4 linked regions of the Tamandua tetradactyla genome follow. The protein of the gene in region 4 interacts with the protein of the main gene of each other region in a pairwise test. Links are inferred from orthologs where the notes say so. Each region holds a gene or a part of one and is shown on either strand. Other genes may lie near its edges. The genes, in order: CCDC146, CDKN1A, INPP5J and TRIM54.

The links.
Region 1: the proteins of TRIM54 (region 4) and CCDC146 interact in binary tests that used the Homo sapiens proteins (3 or more experiments, as listed by UniProt). The two-hybrid records come from large-scale screens. The link is inferred for Tamandua tetradactyla from reciprocal best matches to the Homo sapiens genes TRIM54 and CCDC146.
Region 2: the proteins of TRIM54 (region 4) and CDKN1A interact in binary tests that used the Homo sapiens proteins (3 or more experiments, as listed by UniProt). The two-hybrid records come from large-scale screens. The link is inferred for Tamandua tetradactyla from reciprocal best matches to the Homo sapiens genes TRIM54 and CDKN1A.
Region 3: the proteins of TRIM54 (region 4) and INPP5J interact in binary tests that used the Homo sapiens proteins (3 or more experiments, as listed by UniProt). The two-hybrid records come from large-scale screens. The link is inferred for Tamandua tetradactyla from reciprocal best matches to the Homo sapiens genes TRIM54 and INPP5J.

Annotation. Positions count from the first base shown.
Region 1 is NC_135327.1:140,927,102-140,934,241, reverse strand, and holds the start of CCDC146 (coiled-coil domain-containing protein 146), read left to right. Parts: upstream 1-4,120; 5' UTR 4,121-4,293; intron 4,294-7,140. Other genes in the region: protein FAM185A, read right to left, coding at 3,198-3,648. UniProt on the Homo sapiens protein: Essential for sperm flagellum biogenesis and male fertility.
Region 2 is NC_135331.1:93,465,023-93,472,380, forward strand, and holds the start of CDKN1A (cyclin-dependent kinase inhibitor 1), read left to right. Parts: upstream 1-4,350; 5' UTR 4,351-4,442; intron 4,443-7,358. UniProt on the Homo sapiens protein: Plays an important role in controlling cell cycle progression and DNA damage-induced G2 arrest. Involved in p53/TP53 mediated inhibition of cellular proliferation in response to DNA damage.
Region 3 is NC_135331.1:31,638,143-31,645,532, reverse strand, and holds the start of INPP5J (phosphatidylinositol 4,5-bisphosphate 5-phosphatase A), read left to right. Parts: upstream 1-4,382; 5' UTR 4,383-4,465; coding exon 4,466-4,597; intron 4,598-5,477; coding exon 5,478-5,563; intron 5,564-5,712; coding exon 5,713-5,911; intron 5,912-6,472; exon of another isoform or gene 6,473-6,681; intron 6,682-7,390. UniProt on the Homo sapiens protein: Inositol 5-phosphatase, which converts inositol 1,4,5-trisphosphate to inositol 1,4-bisphosphate.
Region 4 is NC_135329.1:11,235,708-11,242,671, reverse strand, and holds the start of TRIM54 (tripartite motif-containing protein 54), read right to left. Parts: upstream 3,017-6,964; 5' UTR 2,972-3,016; coding exon 2,753-2,971; intron 768-2,752; coding exon 595-767; intron 1-594. UniProt on the Homo sapiens protein: May bind and stabilize microtubules during myotubes formation.

The sequences.
Region 1 (7,140 bases), on a different chromosome or scaffold from region 4:
TAAGCCCTGAAACCTAGAGGGCCCAGCCTCCCTAGAACATCAGATAGTTCCATCTCCTTACCCCAGATTAGTGACAGATGCTTCCAATATGAAAAATTTAGAATGGCCATAGCCCAAACACCCCAAACAAATGACAGAAAGATCAAGGGTGATGGTGGAGTTAAATAATGAAGACAGGATTTAACAAATGAATATGAACGCTGAATCATCAAACTGATATTTCTTTTAGTCTCCAGTATCTTAAAGTAGCTAGAGGTAAAAACCTAAAATTGTGGAATTGTCACCCATGTCAAACTCTGAAATATGCTCTACAACTAATTGTGGTGCTATGCTTTGAAATTAATTGATACTTTGTATATATGTTATTTTTCACAAAAAAAGAAAAAAAAAGTCAATTGTGATGATAAAAAATATTTAAGCCTTCTAGCCTCCTATATACTGGAGAACCTAGCAGGGAAAAAAATCTGAGAGGATCGTACGGTAGCCCATGACAAACTCTGAGATCTGTCCTGTAACTACTTGCTGAAGAGTGCTTTGAAAACTATCGCTTTTTAATTTCTTTGCTTTGTATATGTTATACTATACAATAAAAAAGTTAAAAAAAGAAAACAAAAAGGTTATGTTCACAGTATTACCGAATTGTGGAGAGAGCATAATTGTCAACTCTCTCTAAAGTTAAAGGGTCTCCCCCATGGCAACAAGATCAAATGTACTGGTCTTCTATCAGTGTTTAGACTAGAACAGTTATTTTTGTTAACCTATATCATCTAAAAAGATAGGTTCCAATATTTCCTATTCACAATTTATTTTAATCATTTAATAACACTTATATACTACAAAGGATATCCTGGCACTTCTGGTGTGCAGAGAAGAAAGTAACATAGATGGAAAATAAAGAAGACAGGAGACTACAGTTAATGTAGACACTCCTGATTAAGATTATGGAAACTTCTCCCCCACTGAAAAAACACACATAGGCATTCGAGCAAGAATAAAGCAAGTTAACAAGCCATTACGACAAATCAGATAAGTCAGCTGATTCTCTCTTATATTCAGGAAGATTTAAAGATTTGTTCCTGGATTAGCATGGGTTAGTCACACAAATAATCAATCAGGATTTCAAATTCTCTCTCTAATCTTCCATACCAAAACTAATGATATGTCCATGCAGTTATATCAGAAGATATTTTAAGTAATTTTCCAAATGGGAAAAAATGCTGAAAAATAACATTTAAACTACACGGTTATGGGTAAATAACCACAGTATCTGAAGTGACTTTGGAAAATAAGGAGTCACAGATGCCATCCTTGGCTGTCAACTTATGCATCTCTGTATAATCTGATTATAAAGACACAGGGTAGAAAGGTAGAGAGAAATTAAGGAGAGACAGTGAGTGGTAGTAATGCTACTCTCACCCATTCACACTGAAGCAGGTAACAAACTGGGGGAACAGGTAGCATGAAGAAAACAGAGTAATGTTGATTTGAGGTGCCCACGTAATAAACACATGGAAATAGTTCGTTGGAAATGGGGTTCTGGCTCTAAAAGAGGAAACAACAAATTATAAGGTTTGAGAACACCATCATACATAGTATCCAATTTCATGTGTTTCCATAAAATCTTGCTTAGGCCTATTTCAATATGCAGTCTATTTTGTGCTATAATAATCATTGGCAAATCTCCCTCCCAACCCCAGATTGTTACATTGTTAATGGTAAGGTCTCTTATTCACCTAGGCTAATTAAAAGTTGGGATGCAATAAAGTGTTAGTGGTTGAGCAGTGTGATGGTTTGGGATATTGCACTCCAAAAAAAAAAAAAAAAATCAAAAACAAAAAACACGTTATTAAGCTTAATCTATTCCTGTGGATGTGACTCCATTATAAGTAGGACATTTTCATGAGTTTGCTTCAATTACAGTATGGCCCAACTCAATCAAGACAGGTCTTATTCCTAATAGTGGAGTCCTTTATACAATGCAAGAAATTCGGACAAATAGAAAGAAAGCCATAAGAAATAAGAAGCTACAAGTCAACAGACCTCAGAACCTGGAAGAGAAGGGAGAGGCCAGCAGAGACTGTATACGAACTGCTATGTGACAGAGGAGCCAAGGATCAAGGATCACTGACAGCCAGCCCTAAAAAACACTGGTCTTCTGGAAAAAAGCATCACCTTGATTTGAGTATCTCCAAGCCTCAAAACTGTGAGCTGATAAATTCCTGTTCTTTAAACTAACCCATTGTATAACATTTGCTTCACCAATGAACAAGGAAACTAAAGCAAGGATTCTGGAGTCAGTTCATATCCCAGCTTAACCATCAGTTTATATTTGAGCATTAGAAGGTAAATTCCATGAAGGTATGAATTTTTTTCTGTTTACTCACAATAAAAATTTGCTTTATGAAGCTGGCTGTATCTTAATCTGTATTTCTGAAAATGGAAACAATAGGTATTTACAGTGTAAGAAAGATTATCCTAGAAATGTTGGCTGCTCTTATTATGATCACCATCAGTACCATCATCATCAGCCTGGAAAGACCTTCCTAGAAGTGTTGCGTACACATGGATTGCACTAAGGAAAGTAACACGGAACCCAAATACCTAGGAAACATATCCTATGGACATAATCAATTGATGTTTCCCAAGCAGCCTTACCAGGCGTTTATCTTCAAAGCCCTGCTACTCTTGGAGAATTTATCTAGGCCGAAAAGAATGGTGATGTGCCACTAAGTAGTTAGGCCACTATTTTAAAACCAAACACTTTGCCTAGATTAGATATGGAGATTTTAATAGAGAGGGGTGTCCCTGGGGCAGAACCCCAAGGCTGTGATCAAGGAGAAATGTGGACGGACTGCCATACGATTGAACAGATTATCAAGAAACCTCAACCATGAAAAATAAACCTGCTTGCTGATGACAAAAGTGTAATGACAGAAACTGGAATAAGTGTCAAAGGAGACCAGAAGCGGCTTTACAAACGTTGCTTGACTTGAGTTCAGCCAATCATGTAATCATTCGATTTATAAAATTTCTACACCTAGGAACATAATTCCCAACTTTCAGTAGAACTGAAAAAAAAAGAGGCAGCTTCTCAAGGAGCCAACTAAAAATCTGGATAGAATGTCAGGTCCAAAGGGCGGCATTTACTATGTCCCCTGAATGTGCCCTGGGACCCGAAACGTTTTAACTTCACTTGCCAAACTTCAATGGCGCGTTCACCTCCACGGAGGCCTGGGGGTCTATGGTCTCAGACACGATGGTCATCTCCTTCTGCTCCTCGTCGTACCTCACCAGCAGGCCGTCCAGGTCCTTCACCCCGCCCTCCACGCCGCTCACCGCGACCAATACGCGGTCGGCGTCCGGGTAGGTGAGAGGGTCTAGAGGTCTCACGACCAAGTGGCACGGAAGCCGCGCCCACAGTCGGCCGAACGGGCTCACCAGCAGCGTCCATTCTTTCAGCGTCCGGCGCGCGGAGCAAGGCAGAGTGACTTCGGGCTCCGACTCCGGCCAGTGTTCCCCTCCACGCGAGCTGTAGGACCTCGCCTGGCAGGTCCGACACACCCCGCGCCCGGCGGCCTCGCCGACGCACACCCGGAGGTGTCGGAACAAGAGGCCGTAGCGCCCCCAACTCGTGCAGGGGCCGAACATGGCGTGCCCCTCTCGCGCTCCCTCAGATCGATTCAGTCACAGGGAAGGTCACCTGCCACGGTCGATGTGACCACTGATCCGCCTCAAGTCAAAGGGGAAACAGTTGCGAGGGTTGTGAAGCAAGAGCTAGCTCGCCCACGTTTGTGAGCAGATTTAAACCTCAACCATACAACACCCGGCGACAAAATGGAATTTCAACACTCTGAAATAGCAAAGCAGACCGGAACTCAGCAGCCACCAGTCCCCTTTCGCTAAGGCCGAGGGGATAGGTAGTTCTAGCCATCTCAGATGTCTAAGAGCACTAGGCAGCATAGAAACTAAATATCCCAGAAGGCAATGCTCAGCGTAGACTCGAGAATCTGGGTGGGTACTTGACTGGGTTCTGAAAGCAACACTCGCTGCCTCAAACCCATTGGCCATTGAAGGGGGCCGGAAGAAGCTAGATGGGAAATCCAACTGGCCAATGAAAAGTGCGGAAGGAGCAAGGTCGGCAAGTGTCTGTAGTCTCCTTGGATACCGAGGACGCGACTTCTTTGGACAGAGGGGGAGCTTTCTAGTGAGAACCAGGAGGCTAGAACCTAAAGAGAAAAATAAGACCCTAAATAAGGAGCAGGACCAAAGAAAGGAGAAGCTGCGCTTTTCAAGGTGAGAACTAGCAGCAAACTAGGAATTCAGTCTGGATGGTTAGATCCAAACTTCACTCAACTTGTGCGGAGTGTTGGCTAGATATAAAAAGCCGATTGGAGGCTTTTGAGGTAACTCCCTCTCGGGTAGTAAACACAGGAATAGCGTTAGAGTCTGGCTTTTTCTTGACTTTAGTTGATCGTAGGCCGGTCATTGGATATCTCTGGGTTTTACTTGCTCACGGTTAAAATAAGGACAACAGAGCCTTCCTGCCTTACCTCAAAGGGTTTTTGTAAGGATTAAATGAGGTAATGGTTGTGAACGTGTTGCATAGTCTACAAAAATGCAGTGTAATATACTGTATTTTTATTTTAAGAATAGCATTGACTTTTAAGTTACAAAGAAAAATATGAGCGATTACGACTTGTTTTCACAGCAACTTTGATTTATTTGGCTATCCTTAGTTTTAATGCTAAGTAAGATATTAAAAAGAGAGAGCCAACGTGGTGCTGTGGAAAGTGCAGGACACTAGGGACTAGATCCTCTTCCGGGTTCTGACGCTGTTCTGTCTTTGGACCTGTCTCTTCAACTTTAAAATAAAAGGGCTTTACTAAATGAGCCTATAAGTTATCTTTTACCTTTTATTAATTTTGGTGCAATAAAAAAATTAAAAAGAAAAGATTTATTTCCCCCTTTCCTGTGTCTCTTTCTTTCTGTGTCCCTACCTCTTCCTACAAGTTATCCCCCAAGTTGTTTAGCAAAGACACATGACAGTTTTTTAAATGCAAGAGCTGGAACTGAATGTCTTAAAAAAATAAAATAAAATAAAGCCCTTGGTCAAGTACAATGACCAAAATTACTAGGAGCAGTAGTGATAACGAGACAGAAAAACTGGGCTAAAATCCTCGTGGGCCGAAGACACAGAGTTCTTTGGTGACCATTACCTTTGTAAAAAGGCAGTATTCTCATAAGCTATCCTTTCGCTTCATTCTGCCCTCATAGGCCTCTCTCCCTCCATATTCTTTCTTGAGTGAGAACATGATAGGTGCTAACAAATGCCCACTAGTTTTGTCCTTGGCTTTGTTTCATTGTGTCATAAATATTCAGACTGGTTTTCTTCAATCTTTTTTTCTTTTTTTGCAAATCCATGGGCATAACTTTAAAAACAAAATTTTTAGGCTCTGATTTAAACAAGTTGAAAAGGTACTCAAGTTTTTCGAAGAAATGCCAGATATACATAGATTGGATACAAATCCTTGTAGATAATTCTTTTTCTGTGGTAATATTTCCTTTTTTGAGACAAATCCACGTTAATAGAATTGGCAACTAAAGTTGTCTGCGTGGCATAATCATTGTCTTCCTCTTTTTTAATAAAAAGCACAAATAAATTTGAAGAGTTTTATGATAATGAGGTGGGAAATGAGGAAAATATTGATATTAGGATTGATATAAAATAATAAAAGTTATTGATACTTTAAAAATAGACTAATGAAGTCTATTACATTTATTCCTGTACACACTTTAATAACAACTAATAAAAATACTACCTTCTGTCATAATTAACAGTGCTGAATGGTGTGTGAGTGTGATGGAAAGGGGAAGTTTAGAGTCATGTATGTCATCAGAAGGAAAGTTAGAGGTTAAAACATGGGAATATATAAAATAGTGAATCTTATGATGGACAACGTCCATGTTAACTGTACAAATATAAAAAAGTTCGTTTGCAAACGAGAGCAGGTGTATGACACTATTACAAGGAGTTAATAATAGAGGGGTATATGGGAAAAATGTACCAATCGCAAACTATGAACTGTAGTTAACAGTAATATTTTACTCTTCTTTCATCAACAGTAACAAATGTAGCAAACCAACTCTATGGGTCAATAATATGAGGGGATATGTAGTATGGGAGGATTAAAGTTTTCTTTTTTATTTTATTTCTTTTCCGGAATAAATGTTCAAAATTTGATCTTGCAGCTATGTGCCTAACCATGTCATGATACCGTGAACCACTGATTGTACACTTGGGATAGTTTCTATGCTGTGTGAATATATCTCAAACTTTCATTTAAAAATACTAAATTCTGCCTGTATAACATTATAGTTTTCAAAGCAGGTTCACATGTATTATCTCATTGTTTACTCACAAACGCTCTATGTTTAGCAAGAAAGCTATTATTATCCCCACATTATAGATGAGGAAACAGATTCAGAAAGATTAAGGTTAAAGAACAGAAGGTTTGTTCCTCTTTCCACTCTACCAAAACGTTCTTCTATCTTCCTGGCACTGTTGAAGAAAATAAGTTATTCATGGCATGAGTGGAAATTCATATTAATTTTCCCCTTGAATATAGTTTATCTGTAAACTCTTCAGTTTAAAGAAAAAATCGTTCTTGTGGTCATGAGCATATACTGCTTGTGAGAATATAAATTAGTATAAACTTTCCAGAGGATCATTCAGCAATGATAACCAAGATCCTTAAAATATGCATTTTGATATTGTACTTTTGGGGTTTTAAAGTATGCATGAAATTAAGGATGTGCCAAAAAGAAGTTCAAGGAATTTGTTTTCCAGTGTTATTTATAATAGTAGATAATTGGATCAATTTTAATAACCAGCAAAAGGGTATTACATAAATTAGTATACATCTGGAATATTATCCACCCATTTAAAATTTATGTATTTGAAGACTGTTCAGTGATATGGGAAATATTCCATAAGGTTAAATGGAAGAAGTAGAGTACCAAATTGTATGTATAATATGAACCCAATTCTGTAACAACAAGTTTAATATAAAACTATGTTGCATAGAAACAATTAGGGAAATACACAACTTGATAACAGTGGTGGGAGTATGAATGTTTTCT
Region 2 (7,358 bases), on a different chromosome or scaffold from region 4:
TTGGTGGTGCATGGTGTTTCATACAATTGAAGGACCCAGGCTGATGGAAGCTCCACCATCTTGTGGCACTATCTGGGACATGAGATTTCCGGTTTGCAACAGATGTGGAGGACAGAAACACTGGAGAATTAAACCTGGGTTTTTCTTGGCCTCAACCTAAAGAGACAAATGTCACATGTGCTCATGTTGGCCAGAACTAGTCATTTGGCCCTGCCTATCTGCACGGGGGTGGGAAGGCTGGGAAGTGTAGGAAAGCACATAGAAAAATGGTTGAGCTTTATTGTCTTGGCTACATATGATAAAACTATTTAAAACAATGGAAAGTTAAACAAGATTAAAGATATTTGTTTACTTTGAGGTAGGGGAAGAAGGGACAGAACAGGAACACATAAGGAAGGTATGTCAGTGATTTGTAATGGTCTAGTTCTTGGGTCGAGCAGCAGGTATTAATTACATTATTTTTTAAGTGAACAAACGAACAGATGAATGAATAAATAGAAGAGAAGCCTCAGAAACAAGGGCACTGAAGTCTAATCTCAGAGTGCAGTCCAAAAATGGCCCTTCCATAAATATTCACTGAGCTCCCAGCTGAAGCTGCCAGATCTCAAAGGTACAAAGATGAATAAAATATGGGCTCAACATCTCTGCGTTTGCAGCTCAGAGGATGTACCAGGCACGTAAACAAAGCAGGCCAGCAATGCACAGCGGACAGGCTTGCTCTCCTGGAGCTCTGGGAACTGGAGAGAGGCCTGAAAAGGCCTCAACACCAAGGAGTCACTTAGGGTGGGTCATTGAGTGAGAGGGTGGTGGCGGTGGCAGTGGGGAGGATGGAGGGACTAGGTTGGTTAGGGAAACTCATCCCTGGAAGAGGGAAGGGTATGTGCGAAGACACAGAGAGCCCTTTGCTCCTTAAGTGGTCTATGACCACGGTACTTCCTCACCTCCTTTTAATCCCTAAATGATCTGATCAACTCATTCACACTGTAGTGGACATTGCACTGTGCCACCCAGAATCCCTCGCAGGACCCAGACATTTTCCCCACTGGATGCTGGCAGTTTTGGCTGCTGATGCTCACAGTTGAGTCCTTCTTCAGGAATAGTCCTCAGATAAGGGAGCTCCCTTGCACAAAGTCATGCATCAAGCACCCCCACCCCCGCCCCTCATTTCTGCCTTCTAAATGACTGTTGAAGGCATTGCATCCCAGCTCCAGAACTCCCAGTGGGATCACCTTAAACCTCATTAGAGCTTCTAGACTCTATCACAGCCCAGTTTCTCTCTCTGCCCAATCCTGTTTCTTGTACACCCAAACTGCTGTTGATCCTGAATGTACTTTTCAATGAACCTCCTGCATGCTAATCTCCACCTCAGAGTGTGTTTTCTGGGAAACCTACCTAAGTCAATCACTAAAGTGTAAATGACTATTAAACCCCAAGGGTTGCCTTCCCTGGGAGTGTTTGTACTATAGGAATAATAATAACTAATATTCATAAAGGGATTTCTTTGCCAAGCACTATGATAAGCACTTTGTCTATCTGATCTTATTTAACAAAGAACAGATCTAAGCCAAAGGAATGTATTTCTAATGGTGAAATTTCAATCTTTGGCAGTTGGCTTAGGAAGCTGGAAGTGTTTGTGTGGTATAACTTTTGCCACAAATATTTGTGTCTCACTGTATGATCAGTACTGACCCTTGCACTGGCTGTGTAAAGTCCCCATAAGGTCAGAGTGTGGACTCCCAGTCTAATTTTTCTTTTAAAAAATACAGGGCTTATTCTGCTCAGTAATATAATAAATCTCTGTTCTGCTTCTTCCCTTGGGCCTCACTTCTTGGGAGCCTGTGTGGAGGTGAATTCCTCTGAAAGCTGGCTGTCCCTGGTTGGGACTCCCCGAGACTCTTCTAAGAAATGGTGACATTATCCCAGCACTTCCTCTCTCTTCCCTAGCAGCTCCTGCAGCCACCGTTGGGCCCTCCTCACATCCTCCTTTCGCGGGCTTGGGCATTCCATCTTCCCTCTCCATTATCTGCTCCTCTGCCCCAGAAGAAATGCTGGTCTGGACTCTCCTGTCTCCGAAGCTGAGCCCTCTCTCCGTCTCTAAGCCTGCCTCCTGGAGAGCATGCCTTGGCAGCAGGCTGTGGCTCCATCTGTCCTCTGGCCTCCAGGAACATGTCCCAGCATGTTGAGCCCTGGCATAGAAGAGGCTGGTGGCTGTTCTGTCCTTGGGGCTGCCTACTTTGGGGCAGGGAGGAGGGTGGTAGGAGACAGGAGGTCCCCCAGAGACCCCAAGGAGAGCGTGGCCTCCTTCTCTCCAGGAGGCCCGAGTTTCTCTGAATAGAATATGTGATTTACAGCAGATTTCCTGGAGCAGGCCTGGGATCTGGCACTGCTGAGTGTATGTGTGGGTGTGTATGTGGTGGGAGTTAGATCTTGTGACCTCTACCAGCCTGCTCCTTTGCCCTCTTCAGGGGAGAAGTTTTCTTCCCCTTGAAGTGTGTGCCTGGCTACACATTCAAGTGCATGGTTGCAAACATTTTTAAACTACTGAACAGTTACTAGACATTCAGTAGATGCTTAATAAATATTTGTTGCATTCCATTATAATGGTGGTGGGGAGCTAGGAGTTATTAAAAAAAAATCATTTCCCAACAACAACAACAAAAAGAATTATTTCATTGTGAAGCTCAGTGCCACAAAACTTTAAATAATTCAATACAAGCCTTCATTAAAAGGGGGAAAAAATTCCAAAATAAACAGGCATACAATGTCAAGTCTATTTGAAATGCCCAAAAGCAGAAGGGATTCAAGGCAGGAGGAGGATATGCCTGTCCTCTGCTGGACATTGGGAAACTTAGTCCTTGGGTGGTGTGGGTGGGTCCTGAGGTCTCACATCTCTGGGGCCCTCCTGAGGTTTAGGTACAATCCTGACCTGTCTCCAGGATCAGGCAGGTGAGAGGGTCTGGGACTGTGCTCTCCCAGCCGGACCTGTGCTCCCAGCCCCACAGTAGAGAAAAAGGCCTGTCCTCCCTGAGGTCAGCCTTATTAAAGGAAGAAGACAGGGCATGTCTGGGCAGAGATTTCCAGACACTCAACAGCCCTAGATGTCAGTAATTGTAGCCACTCCAAGCATGGATTCTATTTTTTTTTTTAATGGGATTTCTGTTCAGATTAACACTCTATTCTCTGCAAAAAATAAAAAAATAAAGCAGAAACTGCAAATGTTGGAAGTGAGTGAGAGAGGCAAAGGCAAGGTGTGAGGAGGGCTGGGTGTGTGGGGTTAGGTGGGAGCAGCTGGACCCCTCACATACTTCTATATCTGACAGAAGCACCAGTGGAGAATTCCAGAATTGTCCTTCATCAGTGTCACTTCAATAAATCCCCTGGAAATGAGGTCTAGAGCTACTGAAGCAAAGGGGGCAGCAGGCAGAGCTCTGGAATGGAGGCAAAAGGGCTGTCGTAGTCATTAATTCACTGTGTGACCTGAGCCAGGTCACTTAAACTCTCTGAGCCTCAGTTTCCTCAGCAGTGAATGTGGGGTGTGTTTTTGTGGAATATCCAGGTGATAGCTCATTCACCAATGCTTCTTCCCCACCTAGCCACAATGGTTTCTTCTGCTGAGGTGAGAGTGAGGTGTGTGGGTGGGGTGGGGTGGGGGGTAAGGGGAAGCTGGTTCACTGTCCCATTTCTCCTGGAGACCTGGTTGGATCTTTCTGAGATTTATGGAATTAACTCCAATTCCCTCTTTCCCTGAGGCGATTGGCAAGCAACAACTTTGCAAGCCTTTAGTTCTCTGGGCCTCTTGTTTCTTCATCTGTAAAATAAAGGAGATTGAATTCCACTCTGGCGTCAAAACTTTGCTGGGGTGTCTGGGTACCCCAAGGTGCCGTGGAATCAGTGGTGGTGTAGTGAGACTTTTCTGGGAACTGCAAAGTGAAGGGCATCATTTTTATTATTTTTTAAGAATTTTTATAAATCTGGGTTAGGTAAATCCTTGCCCAGATCGGTCAGCAATGGGCCAGAAATGGAAAGGGGTCTCATCCTAACAATGCCGCCTTCTCCTGGCCAAAGCCCACTCACTTCCCAAACCAGAAAAAGCCCGGCTTATGGCTAAATTCATGGAGAAATGTGTCAAGCTCGCAAGCCCAGGCGCGCGGGTTGGGGGGAAGCGCCCTCTGCAGCCGACGAGGCCCCGACTCCAGTTGCTGGCGAGGAACCTGGAGCTGGGCCAGGCGCGGGCGCGGAGCCGCCCGGGCCCCTGGGGAGGGCGGTCCCCGGCGGCGCGGTGGGCCGAGCGGCCGGTCCCGCCTTTTAAGGCGTGTCCGCGCAGGGGCTATATCAGGGCTGCTCCGGGCGGCGCCAGCTGAGGTGTGAGCGGCTGCGGGAGCCGGTGGCCTGGAGATCCAGATTCCGGTGCAAGTTCATCGAGACACAGACACCCAGACGAGGTGAGGGAGCCGCGGCAGGCGACAGCACATCCTGGCCCGGAGCACTGCGCTGAACGTAGCCGCTGTGTGTGTGTGTGTGTGTGTGTGTGTGTGTGTGTGTGTGTATGTGCTGTGTTCACAGGTGTTTTTGCGGCAGGTGAATGACTTGCGTGGGTCCGTGAGTACTCGATTTGCGCGCACGGATGGCTGTAAGTGCGCATATGATGAGGGTCGGGATGTGTCCCAGACTCTAGGCGGAGCGGGGGCACGAGTCCTGGGGATCCCCAGCCAGGCGCCCCTCCCCTCGAAAATCCGCTGAAGAGAGGGAAGGCGTGGGTGGGGCCGCCCTCGAACTCTCCGCGTTGGGGAGGCGCCCCGGACCCCGCTCGTTCGCGACGTGGGGATGAGGCCGGGTTCCCGGAGGTCCCCGAAGGGGCGGGGGACGCGGAGCGAAGCAGGTTCATGTGGGCCCCGCCCCGGGACGGCTCTTGGGCCAATCAGTCCACTCAGTGTCGCCAGGGCCCTGGCCCCCGAAGTCCGGGAGCTCGACGCCGCGGTGTTCGCCGCTCGGCTGAGCGCTGAGGTCAGCGCGGGCTGTGTCCCTAGACCTCGGGAACGTGCCAGGACACGTCCCTTAAGGGCAAGTGAGGAGGTGACTCACGGTGACAAGAAGACCCTGGGGAGCGGGCCGGATGAAGTCAGAATCCCGCCCGGGCTGGGGGGCGGTGGCGCCCCCAGAAGACCCCACCCCTGCCTCTCCCTGGTGTCTGTCCGTTCATCAGCACAGTGACCCACTTGGCTGGTACAGCGTGTTCCCAGGGAAGCCGGGACACCGGGAGGTCCTGGACCGGGTTTCTAGCCCCCGCCCCGCGACGCGCCCTCGGGATCTGGGCGGGTTCCTGCCGTTCTCTGTCGGTCGGAGAAGCGCAGGGATCGGTCCCACCGCCGCCGGGAGAACCCCGTCCAGCCTGCCGGAGGGTCCGGGGCGCTGAACTCTGGGGTCCAAGCCGAGCCGGGCGCCCCGGGACAGTGGGGCACGCGGTCCACGCCGGGATGGGAGACGAGAAGGGGTCGCATCTTAGCGGTGTGGGGCGCCAAAGCTGTCTAGGGCCGGTGTCAGCCGCCCTGGGAGGCTCGGGGCGCCCCCGGCCTAGCCCAGAGCTCACTGTGCGAGGGCGACCAGCCGGAGCCGAGCAGGAGAGCCAGTCGCCCGCCCCTCGGGTGCCGCCGCCCGGCGCGGGTCACTGGGAGGCCTCCCTGTCCCGCGGCGGGTGGACACGAGTGGAAAAGAATCTCGGTACTGGATTTGGCACTTTGGGGCGCCCAGGCAGCTCCCTCCCACCCAACCTCCCTTCCTGCCGCCCTCGCTCCACGTCGCGTTTCGGGGAGGACGCGCGAGCGGTTTTGTTTTCGTTGTTCCCGTCTATTTTTATTTTCCAGGGATCTGACTCATCCTGTACTTTGGGCGTGGAGATAAGGTGGAGGGGCCAGATCTCGGCGCGCTTGTGCAGGCGCGAGTGTGTGTGTGTGTGTGTGTGTGTGTGTGCGTGCGTGTGTGACAGAGACGGCGCGAGAGTGCGCGGTTGTTTCCCAACAGCGGCGGGGGTTTCGGAAGCCTGGCGGCTCAGCGTGACGTGTTCGCGGCCCTGGCCTCCCCGCCCCGCCCCGCGCTCTCCCCCTTTCCCAGCCCAGGGGTGACGCGCCGCCGGAGTGGAAGCGGAGTTTTGGCGGGCGGGGAGCGCTTTGCAGGAAACTGACTCATCACAACTTCTCCCTCCCACCTTCCAAGGCTCGGCCCACGCACCTCCCACCCCGCGCCTGATTGATTTCCTGGAGATCGGTGCCCCCTCCCGGCCGCCGCGCGCACAGCAACCCGTCTTCCCGCGGAATCCAGCTGCGGGAATCCTTCCCGGCCGCAGTTGCTGCGCTGATCCTTTCCCCCACTCTAACCCCTTAAAAAGAGTACCCCACTGGTTCAACAGTATTTACTAAGAGATTACTGTTTACCGGGAAATTAAAATATGGCTGAACTCTGTTACTTGTTTGTAAAATCTGAGGGTTTGTGTTTCTGAGTTTTTTCTCTGAGTTGGTTGAGAGCAGGTGCTTGGTGGGGGAAGAGAGGCCCAGGAGAGCCATAAAGGAAAGAGTGGTAAGAGAGAAGATCTCTGCCCTGATTCCCGTCCCATTTTCAGCTCCTAGCAGCCAGGAGATGTCCAGCTGCCTGGTAAAGCCCTAGGCAGGCTCTTCCTCCTTGTGCCAAAGGACCTGTTGAGACTCAGAATGCCTGCTTCAGCCATCCAGTGTGCCCCCCTTGACTGGCACCCCAAGAGTGCACCCCTGCGGGGCAGTACCAAACACTTGCTTGAATCCCCTTTAATTTACATGAAGTTAGTCTGGGGACAGGGGACCCCTCAATGTTTGTGTGTGTATTTTAACTTTTTTTGTTGTGTGAAATATAACATATATACAAAAAAAGTAATAAATTTCCAAGTACATTTTAACAAGTAGTGATAGAACAGATTTTAAAGTTTGGTATGGGTTACAGATCCACGATTTTTCGTTTTTTCTTCTAGCTGCTCCAAGACACTGGAGACCAAAAGAAATATTAGTATATTGGTTCAGCAGTCATACTCATTTGTTAAATCCTATCTTCTCAATGAGGATTTTGAAAAAGCTGCCCAAGTGATGCTGATGGGTATCTCTGATTAAGAAACCTCAAAATAAGAGAGGGAGTTGGTGCCAGCACAGAACACAGAACCCAGGGCAGGCAGGCCTGGCAAATTGCTTAACTCTTCTGAGCCTTGATTCCCTCTTCTTTAAAAACAGCTAATATCTACCTTCCTTCTAAGAGGATTAATATTTGTAAAGTGCTTACAACCTCCCCTGGCACATGAAAATATATAAATAGGGTAGGCAATGGTGGCTCAGTAGCAGAAT
Region 3 (7,390 bases), on a different chromosome or scaffold from region 4:
CATCAGCGAGGTGCCCAATTGCTTGGTTCAGGTTGTTTATTGAAGCACTGTTTATCATGGTGAAAACTGGAGAAACAAACTAAGCGTGTTATAGCAGAGGATGAGCTACATAACAAAAGATGCCTCCATAGGATGGAAAACCTATTGTTTAAACTGTTAAAATGATGTAACATGGTATGGATCAATAGGCAGACATTATATTAACATTAAAAAAAATAGCAACAACGACAAAAAAGAAAAAGCCAATGCTATGAAACAGAAATATCAGTTTGGATTTGGGATGTTCTAGGCTGCAAGTCACAAAAGAAACCCCTATTTAAACCGGCTTAAACAATAAAGAGAATATGTTGGCGCAAATAACAACAACAGCAAAAACTGTCTAAGGGCAGGGAGGGCTTCAGATGAGTTTCAGTCTGGTGGATGAAGTCACCAAGATCTTTGCTCTCTCTGTTCTTTTTTGCACAATATCAATTTATCCTTAGACCAGTTCCCTGCATTGTGTCAAGATGGTTACCACCGGTAACCAGGGCTGCATACAGGCTTTTTCATGCACATCTCATCATGGGGAGGTCACCTTTTTTGTGTGTGTGTGTTTTTTTTTTTTTTGGTAGCTTCAGAAGAGAAAACAAATTGAAAGCTGTTAGCAAAAATCTCCTTGTATCTCACTAGTCCATCCATGATCCAATCAAGGGATGGGAATTGCTTACTGGCTTAACCAATCAAGGCCCATTCCTGAAGCTGTTGAGCGGGGTCCATTATAATCCAATTCCTGTTAAAAAGGGTAATAGGTTTCAACAGATGTTGTGGAGGCAATGTAATAGCCAATCAATTTTATAAAATATGTACATATCAATAAATTTGCCTAGAAAGAAAAAATCTAGAGGGAAACAACCCAAAAAGTCAACAGTGTTCAGTTCTTAATGGGCAAAATTATAGGTGAAATTTTTTTCGGCATTTTCTGTATTTACCTAAACACAAAGAGTAAACTTGTTTACAAAAATAATGGGACAGGGCGGACCGCGGTGGCTCAGCAGGCAGAGTTCTCACCTGCCATGCCGGAAACTCGGGTTCGATTCCCGGTGCCTGCCCATGCAAAAATAATAATAATAATAATAATAATAATGGGACATATCTCACTGGTTCCCTCTATCTCACCTCCTCCCCAGCAAGGACCCAACATAGCCAAAGCTGGAGACTCATGGAGCCTGTGGTTTTTCTGCTGATGGAGCCAAACCTCAGTGCCCTGTGGACCCATGCTGTTCGCTGGACGGATGCCACCAAACCACTCTCATTGCATTAACCAGTATGCTGTGGCCTAAAGGGGCCACAGGCTGGGCTGCTGAGGGTTTGACTAACCAGCCAGTGGAAGTGGCAGTGGAGACAGTGGCCATTACAGTACCGGGAACATTCTGGCATCAGCAGCCACACGAGTCCCAGGACAGGTCGCTGCTGGTAATCCACGCCCTTCTGTGACAGCCTGTAATGTTGGCCAAGAGCCTTCCTCTGGTAGGGCTGGAGTTGGGGCTTAGTCTGCGATGGGGTCAGTCTCAGACAAGGTCAAGGTTAGACCTTAGTCTCAGGCCAGGTTTGGAACTGAGTCTGGGGCTGGCGTCAGAGCTCAGTCAATGACTGGGCCAGGGATAGTCTGTAACCAGGATCGAGGCTCAGTTGTGACCAGGGCGAGGGCTCAGTCAGTGACCGGGCTCAGGGCACAGGGTCAGGGTTCAGTCGTGTGACCAGGCTTGGAGTTCAGTTAATGAGGGTCAGGGCTCAGTCTGGGGACAGATCTCAGTCAATGATGAGAGTTGGAACTCAGTCTCAATCTGAGATCAGGGCTTAGGTACTGGGGTTAGAGTTCACCCTGTGACTAGGGCTCAGTCTTAGGCAGGGATCAGGGCTCAGACTGGGTCCAGATTGAGGTCTCAAACTGTCATCAGCCTTAGTTGGACTGAGGTGATTAGAGTCAGGGCTCATTCGAAGGCCACACACAGTCAGAGCTCAATCTAGGTCTGAGGTAGAGGGCTCGATCAATCCCAGCATTAGGGCTCAGTTGGGATCTAGAATCAAGGACATGACCAGGGCTTGGTCTGACTCCATGCTCTGTTCTGATCCCTGGTAAAGAAGTTTCTGGAGACATGGGAGCCCAGGGCAGGTCTGTCTGCAAGAAACAAGAGCCCCCTAGCCAAACAGATCAGATGCTCGTCCCTGCAGTAAGCCTCCCCTTGCCTGCCGAAGCTGGGTGTTCTACAGCCTTCTAACCTACATGGCTCCGCTGCTCGAGATCCCCTCGCACCAGAATAAAAATAGCCACTCACTTCAGAGCAGCTGACAGCGGGTGCGGGCTGCCTGGGAGGAGGGGGAGCTCAAAAGAGGGAGGACGGATGTTTGAGCTTGGCCCCAGCTGTGTGACCTTGGGAAAGTCACTCCTCCTTGAACCCACTTCCTGGGGGACAGAATGGGGAGTGAGGATGATACCTGACCGAGAGGGTGGAAATGAGGGGCCAGGGACAAAATATATCGTACCTGTTACTAGTAAGGAACCCTCGGGTGAGGTCTTGGAAGGAAGAATGCTGCCCTATGCCCTGAATACCTCCTCCTCGGGAAGCTTTCCCTTTTGCTTACCTCTTCTATCTTCCCCCAGTACCCTGTACCATCCTGTATGCCTCGAGACATTTCCCAGCTGGTGGCCCCTGAGCTTGACCTTCCTCATGGTGGGCTTAAGTCAGAGGGGCCATTAGCCTATTCAGGCACCCCTGGGAAGGAGGAAAGAGGAAGGAAGAAGATTTCTCTCCCATTCCCTGCTCATGGTGTTTGCACTCTGAGCCAAAGGGCCAGGGGGGTATGCATCCAAATTTCGCATCCCTTCACAGCCGGAATCTTCCACACTCCTGATCTTTGCATCTGCTACTCCCTCTGTTTCCTGGGACATTTCTCCTCTTTTCTATTTGGCAACATGGGCTCTCCTTCAAAGAAGGGGTTCAACAGTCACCTTCTCTGTCTGGGGTAGTGGTGGGGGTGGAATTACCCACGACCCCCCTGGGAATCCCTGCTCTGTCTGCTACTGGTTGTGGAATCCCTGGTTTCTTCTCTCTCTGTCACATGGGGAATTTTCTCCCAATCTCACAGGGTTACTTCGGAGAGTAGCTAAAATAATCTATACCAACCGCCAGCTCTCTCCCTTCCTTTCCTTGACCCAAAAAGTCCGGAGGGTGGCACTGAGAGCTTCCAGGAGGGGCCGGGTGGGCTGTACCCTCTGCCTTGGCACACCACCACCCACCCCTCGGTATGAGGGGAAGGAGGGAGCCAGGAGGGGCCTCCGGAGACAGCCGTCTCCAGGGGGGCGGCTCTCCTTGGCAGCTGCCCCCAGCCTGCCGCCCTGAGCCCCAGAGCCTGTTATCAACCTGCTTAGTCATCACACCAGGAACTCAAAACATAGCTCCTACCCGCTCCCGGCTCAGTTGGGGTCCATCCCCCGCCCCCTTCCCCTGACAAGGCCAGGCCTGGGGTCTCAGAGCCCCTTCCTCTTCCTTCCAGACATGCAAATGCTCTGGGGCCTCAGTTTTGACATCCATTAAATGGGCGGGCTGGATAATGATGGTGATGGTGATGAGGAGAAGGAACTTACAGTAGCAGCTGCCTTTCCAGAGAGTTTGCCTGTGCCAGGCTCTGTGCTAACCACCTCATACGCATTATCTTGTTTAGTCTTCACAGCAATCTTTGCTGTTTTTATTTCCCCAACACAAATAGGAATCTGAGTCACTTGCCTAAGTAAGTCAGTGGCAGGGCCTGAAACAAGGTCACCTGCAGGGTCTGAGCTCAGGGAGGGGAGGGTGATGGAAAATCCTGTCACCCTTTTCATGCTCACTTGCATGGGATTTGCCTTGCTTTTAAAGGACACTGATGTCCCTCTACCGGCCCCAGGTGACTGAGCCCCTGGGTCTGGTTTCAGGGACCTGAATCTGTCTCCCAAGAGTGCATCAGAAGTCCAGTCTTCTTGGGGGCCTCAGTCTCTTCCTCTGTCAGATGGGGGATGGCTGAGTTCAAAGGTTCCTTCTGTCTCTTGTGGCCTTAGCACCAGCACCATGTCCATTTTCACCTCCTCGCCTGCCGCCACCATCAACACTATTACTTCCGCCCCTTCCTTCCACCACCTCTACCTTCACCATAGTCTGTGTTCTTCTTGTCACCTCCACCATTGCCAGCACCATCACCTCTCCCTCTTCCACTATGTCCATTTCCCTATCCTCATTATCATCTCTAGCATCTCCTCTCATCTGAGCCATAACTACCACCTCCACCTTTGCCAGCACCATCTCCACCACAACTCACGTCCCCCATCATAATTACCTACATCACCAGTGCCACCACCACCTTGTCACCACTGTCATCACCTCTACCATCACTGTCCACAAATCTTTCTAATATGGCCTGAGTCTCTGCCCATGCAAATTCCAGCCTCACAGAGATGCTGGCCCAGACACACAGACTAGACACTAACACCCTCAAACAGAGGTGGGAAGTTTATCCAGGACAGGAAATGAGACATCTGTCCATGCCTTTCGTGAAGGGGACCACACAGACCCATGAGGACGCAGGGGTGAGTGTTGATCAACCAGGAACATTTATGCACAAAACTCTGGACCTCTTTTGCCTAAGCTGGGTGGGATTGCTCCTCTCTAAATCATCCAGCAAATCTGGAAGAATTGGGGTTTCAAGGCTGCTTAGCAGGAAGGAATAGTGTGGAGGTCCCACAGTCATACATCCCTAACCAAATCTGACCCTTGAGTGACTCACTTTCCTCATTCATTCATTCATTCAACAACACTGCCCTGGTCCTGTTGGGTTCGAGACCCTGCGGCGTCCTGGCCAGAAGAGTTCCCAGGTCTGTTTTTGTTCTAACTATGAGTTCATCCCCCCACTGCAGGGCCCCTTTCCACCCCAATTCCCTTTCCCCAGATACTCCAACTGGCTTTTGCTGGTCTTGGGTCACTGAGGGAGCTTCCTTTCTTCTCTGGGACTCGGGAGACCTCTCTAGTTTGCTGGGTGACCTTGAGCGAAACCAGCTCCCTCCCCAGGCCTGTGTCTCCCCTTCCCAAACCATGCCCAGTGGGCACTGGGAAGGAGAATGCCGAAAGGAACTGGGTTGGGACAGGGCTGGCCATGAGGACACCGGATAGAGACTAGATATCTGCAGAAAAGGAGAGGCCAGCGCTGCTGAGGTTGAAAGGAGAAAGGGCTCTGGTGTCTGGAGCCTGAGTGCCTGGCTCTGCAATGGGAAATAAGAGGGATAGAGCCAGGATGGGGCATGGAGGGAGGGTGCAGAGGTGGGGGGGGGGGACCAAGTCCTGAAAATGGGGCAAGGGTGGGGGCCAAGGCAAACCCTGAGTTGGCAGGAACTCAGGGCGAGGAGTCAGGTTTCTCTGAGGCCCTGGAGAGGGTACTAACCTCGGAGCCTCCTGTCCCTACCTCACCTGCAGGTGTGTCAATGCCCCTCCCTGGAGCAAGGGCTGGGCAAGCCTCCAGGAGGGAGGGTGGGGACAGACTGCCTCCTCCATGCTGCCAGGTGAGACTTGGGCCAGGCCAATTAGCCCACCCCACCTCCAAGGCCTTTCCAGTAGGAGCAGCTAGCATGAGGGGTTCCCAAGGGGGAAGCCACCTGGCCCTGGCCACCTCCAGGTTGGGAAGTGGGTGCCTGTGCCTTTAAATTCTCAGCAGGTTGAAGTGGCTGATGACATCACTGGTTCCCGGGGAGCGGAGGAGCTGGAGTCAGAGCCTGAGGGAGCCCGGGCTGCCAGGGGCTGCAGACATGGAGGGCCAGAGCAGCAGTGGCAGCAGGAGGCCAGGGACCCGGGCTGGCCTGGGTCCCCTGCCTGTGCCCCATAGGCTTCCTCAAACTGGGACATCCTCCAAGGTAAGACCCCTAAATCCCAGACCGCCCCCCCCCCCGCCCAGTTCCCATCCCTGGGCCCACCCCCACCCACCCCCTAGCACTGGCACCCAGGTGCAGCTGGCTAGGGGACTAATATTCTCCTCTGACCACCAGGTAGGTTCTGGGCAGAGAGTAACCTGGGGGTTAGTGGGAGGAGGGCACAGTGACAGGACACCCAGAGAGAAATGGAGTTAGCCATCTCCGGAACCCTCCAGGAGATCTATGGACCGTGCATCGGGGGATCTAACTGGGCTCCAGCTTTGCTGTGTGACCTTGGGCAAGTTGCTAGTCTCCTCTGAGCCATTGTAAAATGAGGGGGCTTATGCCCGTAGGCTAAAACTGTGCCATCTGGGGTGTCTAAGTTATTAGTGCTGGAGGTGGCAGTGTGGGGGAAAGCACACAGTGGGGCACTTGGAGCCCAAGAAGATGCCCAAAGGCAGTTTTAGTGAGCTGAGTTTGAAGAGGGAGGTGAAGGCAGAGTTTCAGGTTCTCTGAACCAAGAAGGACACATGATACAGTTGGAACTGCATCTCTGGTGGCAGGGATAGGGCCACTCCAGGGCGAGTACAGACCTTCTTCTGCCCTCCCTGGGAAAGGACGCTTCATCCTGTCTTCTGGGGACAGGGGACATCCAAAACAGGAGATGAATGGGGAGGTGAGAGGAGGTCCCTCAGGGCCCTACTCTCCGCCACACCACCCCACCGCCAGCACTTCCCAGACATAAAAAGATACCTGCTTGTCTGTCCTCACAGGTAGGGGAGAAGGTGAGAGATAAGAGCGGGAAATAGCTTGAGCACACAAAGAGGGGCAATCCCAGGGCCAACTTGCTCTGAATGTTAGATTCATCCTCGTTGAGAACAGATGATTCCATGGGGCCCAGGGGAGTCCTAGCGAGTGTTGGGCTTATAAATGCACTGACTATGGGATGAACATTCTCTATGATACAATGTGACCAGGTGCCCTGCATTCAGCCCCTTCATTTTACAGAGAGGGAAACTGAGGCCCCGGGCACAGAGTGACTTGCCTGTGATCACACAGAAGCTCAGCTTGGAATCTGTGTGGCAGTCCCAGCTGCAAGCTCTTGCTCCTGCATGGAGCTCTGGGAATTGGATGGGTAGGGCAGAAAGGGCTGTGGCCAAGGGGATTGGGAAATCTGGGTGGGGGTGGGAGGGGACCCAAAAGGTCCTAGAAGAAGGGAAGGTTATTTAACAGACTGGTCTCAGTGTATTCAGAGTGGGCACACTTGGGGTGAGGTCAGCAGCCCTCAGCCAGGGGAGCAGCAGAGACTGCAGTGGAAGAGTTTGCCCGGGGAGGTTGGCTCCTGCCACCCAACATTCTAAGGTGGGCAGAAAGTGGGTGCTGGCTAGGAAGGCCATGGGCTTAGGCCCTTGGGTTTAGGTTCATAACTCTGCCTCATCTGTTTCCCCTCTAGGGGGTCTTAGTTTCCCCATTTGTGAAAGG
Region 4 (6,964 bases):
TTCCACCACCCACCACCACCACCACCACACCCTCTGCTCCTGCAACTGGGGCTGTGTGGGCTGGTGGGTGCCTCCCACTGGGCTCTTAGTTTGGGAAATAGAAAGAGCGAGAGGAATAGAAGAGGCCAGGATCCAGGAAGAGCCTCACATGATCTGTATCCCAGGGCCAGGGAAGTCCCACGTGGAGAGCTGACAAGGACCTCACAGGTGCTTTCAACCAGACTTCAACCGGAATGACCCACTTGTCATGGAAACAAGGGAAACTATCTCAAATCTCAGGGGAGCCCTCCTGCCATGATCTGCACATGTCCCCGGGGTGGATAATTCATCAGCTACTGTGGGTAGATATTCTGAGCCAACGTAACCATATCAAAGCACCCAGGGTAAATCCCTCCCCACTCCCCCACTCCCCCGCTCCCCCACCTCTGCGCTTTCCCCACCCCCGTCTGTAACCCATTCTCTCATCTCCAAACTGAAGAGGTTGAAGAGGTGGGTAGGTGGCTGGTTTCTGTTTTCCCTTTCTGGCCTGGATGGGTTCCCTGGCTGTGTCCCAGGCCCCAGGCCTTGGAGAGGCGGGAACCCCTGACAGCTCACCGGGAGGACTCCTGCTTGTAAATGTCAATGATGTTCTCCACCAGCAGATTCCTCTGCAGGCCATAGACCCCATGTCGGTCCAGCACGACCTCGTGCCTGCAGGAAGGGCAGCGGAAACGGCCTCCCGAGGACACAGTGGAGGAGCCCCGGGACTGCCACAGGGGGTTGGAGGCCTGCGGGGGAGGCAGCACGAGGCATCAGGGAATTGGGGGGAGGCTGGAGGAGAGGCCAAGGGCCTGCAGCAGGAGGGGAAGGGTGGAGGGGCAGGCATCAGCCTGTTTACACAGCTGGGGCTTCCTCTGGGAGCAACAAAGTGTGGGTGGCCATAGACATCGTGTTTCCCACTCTGCCTCACTACTCAGCTCTAGCTCCTTGAGTGTCTGTGTGTCCAGAGCTTAGCTGTGGCCAAGGCGTAGAAGGTGCATACCCCAGAACAAACATGTCCTTCATCTTAGCCCGTTCCTATGGGTGGGAAGCCATTGCCAAGGCCTTTTGAAGATGCTATTTTGGTTAAGGGGTGGTCAACGGATGAGGTTCGGCCTTCGCCCTCTTCCTGGAGGCTTTATGAAGAGGAAGCCATGTGAAGGAGTAGATGTGGAAGGCAACAGAACCCAGAAGAGAAAGGAGAGGACATGCCATGTGACAGGACAGCCAAGGACCCCGAGGATTGCCAGCCAGCCAGAATGCTACCAAACCTGAGAGGAAGCAAGGCTTCTGGCCTCTGAAACTGTGAGCCAATAAATTCCTGTTGTTTAAGCCAGCCCACTGTGTGGCATTTGTTGTAGCAGCTGTGAAATTAAGACAGCCTTGTTGGGATGGGATTTCTCCAAAGGGGCCTGGCATGGAGCTATAGGGAGAAACTGGCCTGGATAGGAGAGCTAAGATAAGAAATGGACCCTGAGTGGGTTCTCTGCAGAACTGAGTGGGAGCACAAGCAGAGGTCCGGCTGAACCAGCTGGGTGATTCTGGGAAATGCTTCCAGGGGCTGGGAGTCCAGGAGTCCTGGGCTCTGGTGCTGTCCCTGACACTGTTTCACGATGTGAACTTGGGCAAGCATTCAACCTCTCTAAAGGACTAGAATGGAGTATTCATTCTATTGTAAATATTGACTGAGTATGCCAGGTAATTGCTAGGTCCCAGGAGATAAAGATATGAACAAAATGCATATCCCTGTCCTAAGGACAAGCAAACAGAAAACTGCCTCTTGCAGGATGGGTGTCATGACAAGGGTAAGCTCCGAAGGAGGATGTACCACAGATGCTCATCGCTTCTTCCCATGTACACCCTCTTCTTAGAGCACTTGCTCCCTCCCATCCTAAAAGGGAGAGCCCTGCCTAGGACTACCTATTCCTGGCCACAGGTGATGGTCTCAGAGTTGAGAGGGTGATCAACTGAGCCAAGCAAGGCCAGATATTCTCTCCTAGGAATCTGGATTTGAGACATAGAGGCTGAAGTGGCTTGAGCAAGTGCAGCTCTGGAAAAGGCCTATGGAGTTGGGCTAAGAGCTGACATTATGACCACCCAAATGGAAGTAGACGGTGTGGGGGGCAGAAGCTATGAGCCTTAGAGAGAAGGCAGGTCTGCAGAGAAGAGAAAAGAGCCAATATGTAGAGAGAAGCCAGGAGGAAAAATAGGCAGAGACTGCTTGTCATTCCTTGATCTCCACCCCCTCACCCCACTTTCTTCTTCAATAATAGAGTCCTTGAATTTTAGCAAGACACATGACTGCCTGGAATAAAGACCATGCATCTAAGCCTCTTTTCTCGTTAGATGTTGCCATGTTGCTATCTCCCGGCCATTTGGTATAGGCAGAAGTGCTTTGTGCAAGTATCTTTAATGGAAATGCACACACCCTACTCCTGCCCTTTTCTCCTTCCTGCTGGCTGGAATGAATGTGGGATGGCTGGAGATGAAGCAGCTGTCTTGAACCATGAGATGGTACCACATGCCGAGAAGGGCAGCAAGATAAAAGGAGCAGACCTCTGATGAGCATGGTGTCACAGCAGCAGTCCTGGTCTGCCTGCCCATACTTACACTTGAGAGAAAACACTAATTCTTACCTTCTTTCAGCCAGTTTGGGATTTTCTGTCACAGCAGAACCTAATCCTAACACCCAGAAGATCCTGTACACTTAGATTGTAATGGAGAAAGTAATCACCTGTGACTTTCCATATTTAGATGTGTTTCCTGCAATTAGGTTAAATGAAATTCTCCAAATTCTTATGATCACTCCTCTTTCTTTAAGCATACGTGAGCAGTTTTCTGATTCTTGAAATCCAATGTGCCCTGAATCAGAAAAAAAGGCTATTCTGTCACACAGGTTGCTTTTGGCTGCAAAAGTGGGCTGGAAACAAACCACAGCACAACTTCCTTCCATGCAACAAGTGGTGGTGGAAAGGGTATCAGTGGGTATGACCAACTCCTGGCTGATATCCCCCCAGCCTCATCTTCTCCCACTCTAAGAAGAATGGGTTTCTCTCAGCCAATCTGAAAATTTTGAAAATTTCTGAGGAGACTCTGATTGGCCCAGCTTGGGGCAGATGCTCAGACTTTGGACCAACTGCTGAGACCTATGGAGCAAAGTAATATGATTGGCCCTGCTGGGTCATGTGTTCCCCTTTCAAAAGTGGGGCTTGGCTGTTTGTATATAGCATGCTCGTTCCCAGAAACTTCGGGTATCTATATGACACCTGAGACTCAGAGTTAAAACCCTGAAGCTATGAAAGTCAGCAGTACCCCATGCAAGAACTGTTTAAAAAGTTGAAAAAGTGATCAGTCTTTGAGTAGAGATATGAATGAAGAAATCTGGATAGGACTGTGGTAGATCAGAATACAGGGTAAAGGATGATATCATCCATTATTTAAAACTTCAACTTCTGTGTGAGACCAAAGGGAATGATGTTTATTGCGTGAAAAATCTATATTTTGGGTAGTGCATTTCTTAATTTAACTTCCTATGTTCAGTTTAGTTGAACACTAAGTACATGGAATCATGGATAGGGTGTGAGGTTTTGTTGACTTGCTCAGGTTAATGTGATGCCCCGATAAATCCCAGAGTGGTTCGGCAGTGAATAAAGAAGTATTTGCAAAGTCCCCTTGCGTAGTTGGGGGGAAGAAAGGAGGAAATATTCAACTTCCCCACTTGGAGAATTTCTGATATATGCGCAAGCAGTGGGGACAACCAAATCAATAGGTTAGGCCTTGATCTTGGGGTTCACCCCTATGAAACTTATTCCTGCAAAGGATAGGCTAAACTTACTTAAAATGAGGCCAAATTCCCTAATATAACTTATGTAGACAGCTTAATTGAACACCATAAGTACATGGAATCTTGAGTAGGGCATGAGATGTTGTTGGTTTGTCCAGAGTGATGCCCTGATAAATCCCACAGTGATCTGAACAGTGAATAAAAAAGTATTTGCAAAGTCCCCTTCAGGGAATGGTGAGAAAGTGGGAAAATTCAACTTCCCCAAGTTGAATTTTTTTTTCATATTCTCACAAGCAGTGCAGACAACCAAAGCCATAAGCTAAGCCCCCAATCTTGGGGTTTGTTCATATGAAACTTAACCCCACAAAGGATAGGTCAAGGTTAATTAAAATTAGGCCTAAGAGTCACCCCCAAGAGAACCTCTTTTGTTGCTCACATGTGGCCTTCCTCTCCAGCCAACGCAACAAGCAAACTCACTGCCCTCCCCCTGTCTATGTGGGACATGACTCCCAGGGGTGTGGACCTTCCTGGCAACGTGGGACAGAAATCCTAGAATGAGTTGGACTCAGCCTCAAGGGATTGAGAAAAGCTTCTCAACCAAAAGGGGGAAGAGCGAAATGAGACAAAATAAAGTGTCAATGGCTGAGAGATTCCAAACAGAGTCGAGAGGTTATTTTGGAAGTTACTCTTACACATTAAATAGATATCACCTTGTTAGTCAAGATGTAATGGTGAGGCTGGAGGGAACTGCCTGAAAGTGTAGAGCTGTGTTCCAGTAGCCGTGTTTCTGGAAGATGATTGAATAATGATATAGCTTTCACAGTGTGACTGTGTGATTGTGAAAACCTGTGTCTGATCCGTCTTTTATCTACCTTATCAACAGATGAGTAAAACATATGGGATAAAAATAAATAATAGGGGGAACAAATGTTAAAATAAATTTAGTAGATTGAAATGCTAGTGATCAATGAAAGGGAGGGGTAAGGGGTATGGTATGCATGAATTTTTTTCTGTTGTCTTTTTATTTCTTTTTCTGAATTGATGCAAATGTTCTAAGAAATGATCATGATGATGAATGTGAAAAAAAAATAAACTAAGGCCTAATAGTCACCACCCAAGAACCTCTTTTGTTCCTCAGATGTGTCCTCTCTCTCTAAGCCAACTTGGCAGGTGAACTCACTGCCTTCCCCTCTCTATGTGGGACATGACTCCCTGGGGTGTAAATCTCCCTGGCAATGAGGGACAGAACTTCCAGGATGAGCCGGGACCCAGAATCAAGGGATTGAGAAAGCCTTCTTGACCAAAAGGGGGAAGAGAGAAATGAGACATAATAAAGTTTCAGTGGCTGAGAGATTTCAAACAGGATTGAGAGGTTATCCTGGAGGTTTTTCTTATGCATTATATAGATATCCTTTTTTAGTTTATGGTGTATTGGAGTGGCTGGAGGGAAGTACTGGAAAGTGTTGAGTTGTGTTCCAGTAGCCTTGATTCTTGAAGATGATCATATAAAGATGTAGCTTTTACAGTGTGACTGTGTGGTTGTGAGAACCTTGTGTCTGATGCCTCTTTTATCCAGGGTATGGACAGATTTTAAAAAAAGTATAAATAAATAATAGGGAGGAGAAAGGGTAAAAGAAATTGGATAGATGGAAATACTATTGGTCAGTGATGGGGAGGGGTAAGGGTGTGGTATGTATGAGTTATTTTCCTTTTTCTTTTTCTGGAGTGATGCAAATGTTCTAAAAAATTATCATCATGATGAATACACAACTGTGTGATGATATTGTGAGCCACCTGATTGTACACCATGTATGGACTGTATGTGTGTAAAGATTTCTCAATAAAAATATATTAAAAAAAAAAATTGAGGCTCGAGTCAAAGACAGCAGCTCCCACCAGGGAAGGGAGAAGAGCACAGCTCCAAAAGAAGGGCATGGGTTTGGGCACAGCCTCTGAAGGGAATGGTGGAGAACCAGGCAGCCACCCAAAGACCTGTTGTAGGCACCTAACTGAGCAGTTAAGGGGGGAGGGAAGTTTGGGGATTAGTAATGTCTCTGCTAATTCTGAAGGATGACTAAGGGTGAGCCCGGTAAAGGGACAGGGAAGGAGGAAAGAGTGTGTCAGGTCAAAGGAAGGGGGTCAGCAAAAGCCTACAAGTGAATCTGGATTGGCCATGTCCGGAGGACTGAGCGGTGCTGGGTGCTGGCGGGAGCGTGTAGGCAGTGGAATGGGGAAGGAGAGCGCCTGAGGGCCTGGTGTACCTCTCTCCAGAGTCTGGACTCTGCTCGTAGGGGCATGAGAAGCCATTTAGGAGCTTTAAGCAGAAGGAATGATGTAATCGAGTATCCATTTTAGAAAAGTTATGTGAGGAGGATACACTGAAGGTAGGTGAGAGCCAGGGAGCTCCGTTAGGAGGAGGACACTGCAGTGACCAAAGAGGAGCTGGTTGTCCAAACCCAGGCAGTGGAAAAAGGCGTGAGGCTAGCAGTCAAGAGATGAAGATACTAGTCACCGTTTCTCCATCTTTAAAAGAGGCTATTGGTCTCTGCTTTATCTACAGCCCAGGTTTCTCATTGAGAAGAGTAGATGGGAGAATGCTGGGATACCCCCTTGTAAACTATAAAGCACTAAACTATACAAATGTGAGGTCCCTGACATTCGCCGCCTAGGACCCCACTATGGGGAAGGGTGGAAGAGATGCTGAGACCCACCAAAGTGAAAGATGGAGGGTTGCCTTGGGGCAGGGGTGTACCTGCGCGAAGGTGTGGAGAAGGCATTTTGGAGACCAGAACAGTCTAACCAAAACTATAATAGAATTCATATAGGAAAACCATCTACTAACAACTAGAGGAGTCTTATGTATGTTTCCTTAAAAGAATCTGAACATTTAAAAGCCACAACACATTTGTTGTACAGTAATACAAATTTCTTTGTCATTATTATAAAACTTTAATTTTCATATACTTGATTTGGTATTATCAACCCATCCTATAGACTTCATATAATGGCCTTAAAAAGAATCATGAGGGGTGCATGGATGGCTCGGTGGTAGAATGCTCACCTGTCATGCAGGAGACCCAGGTTTGAGTCCTGTGCCATTCACATACCCCCACCCCACCCCTCCCTCCAAAAAAAGCATGAACTATTTTTGTTCTAGAGAAT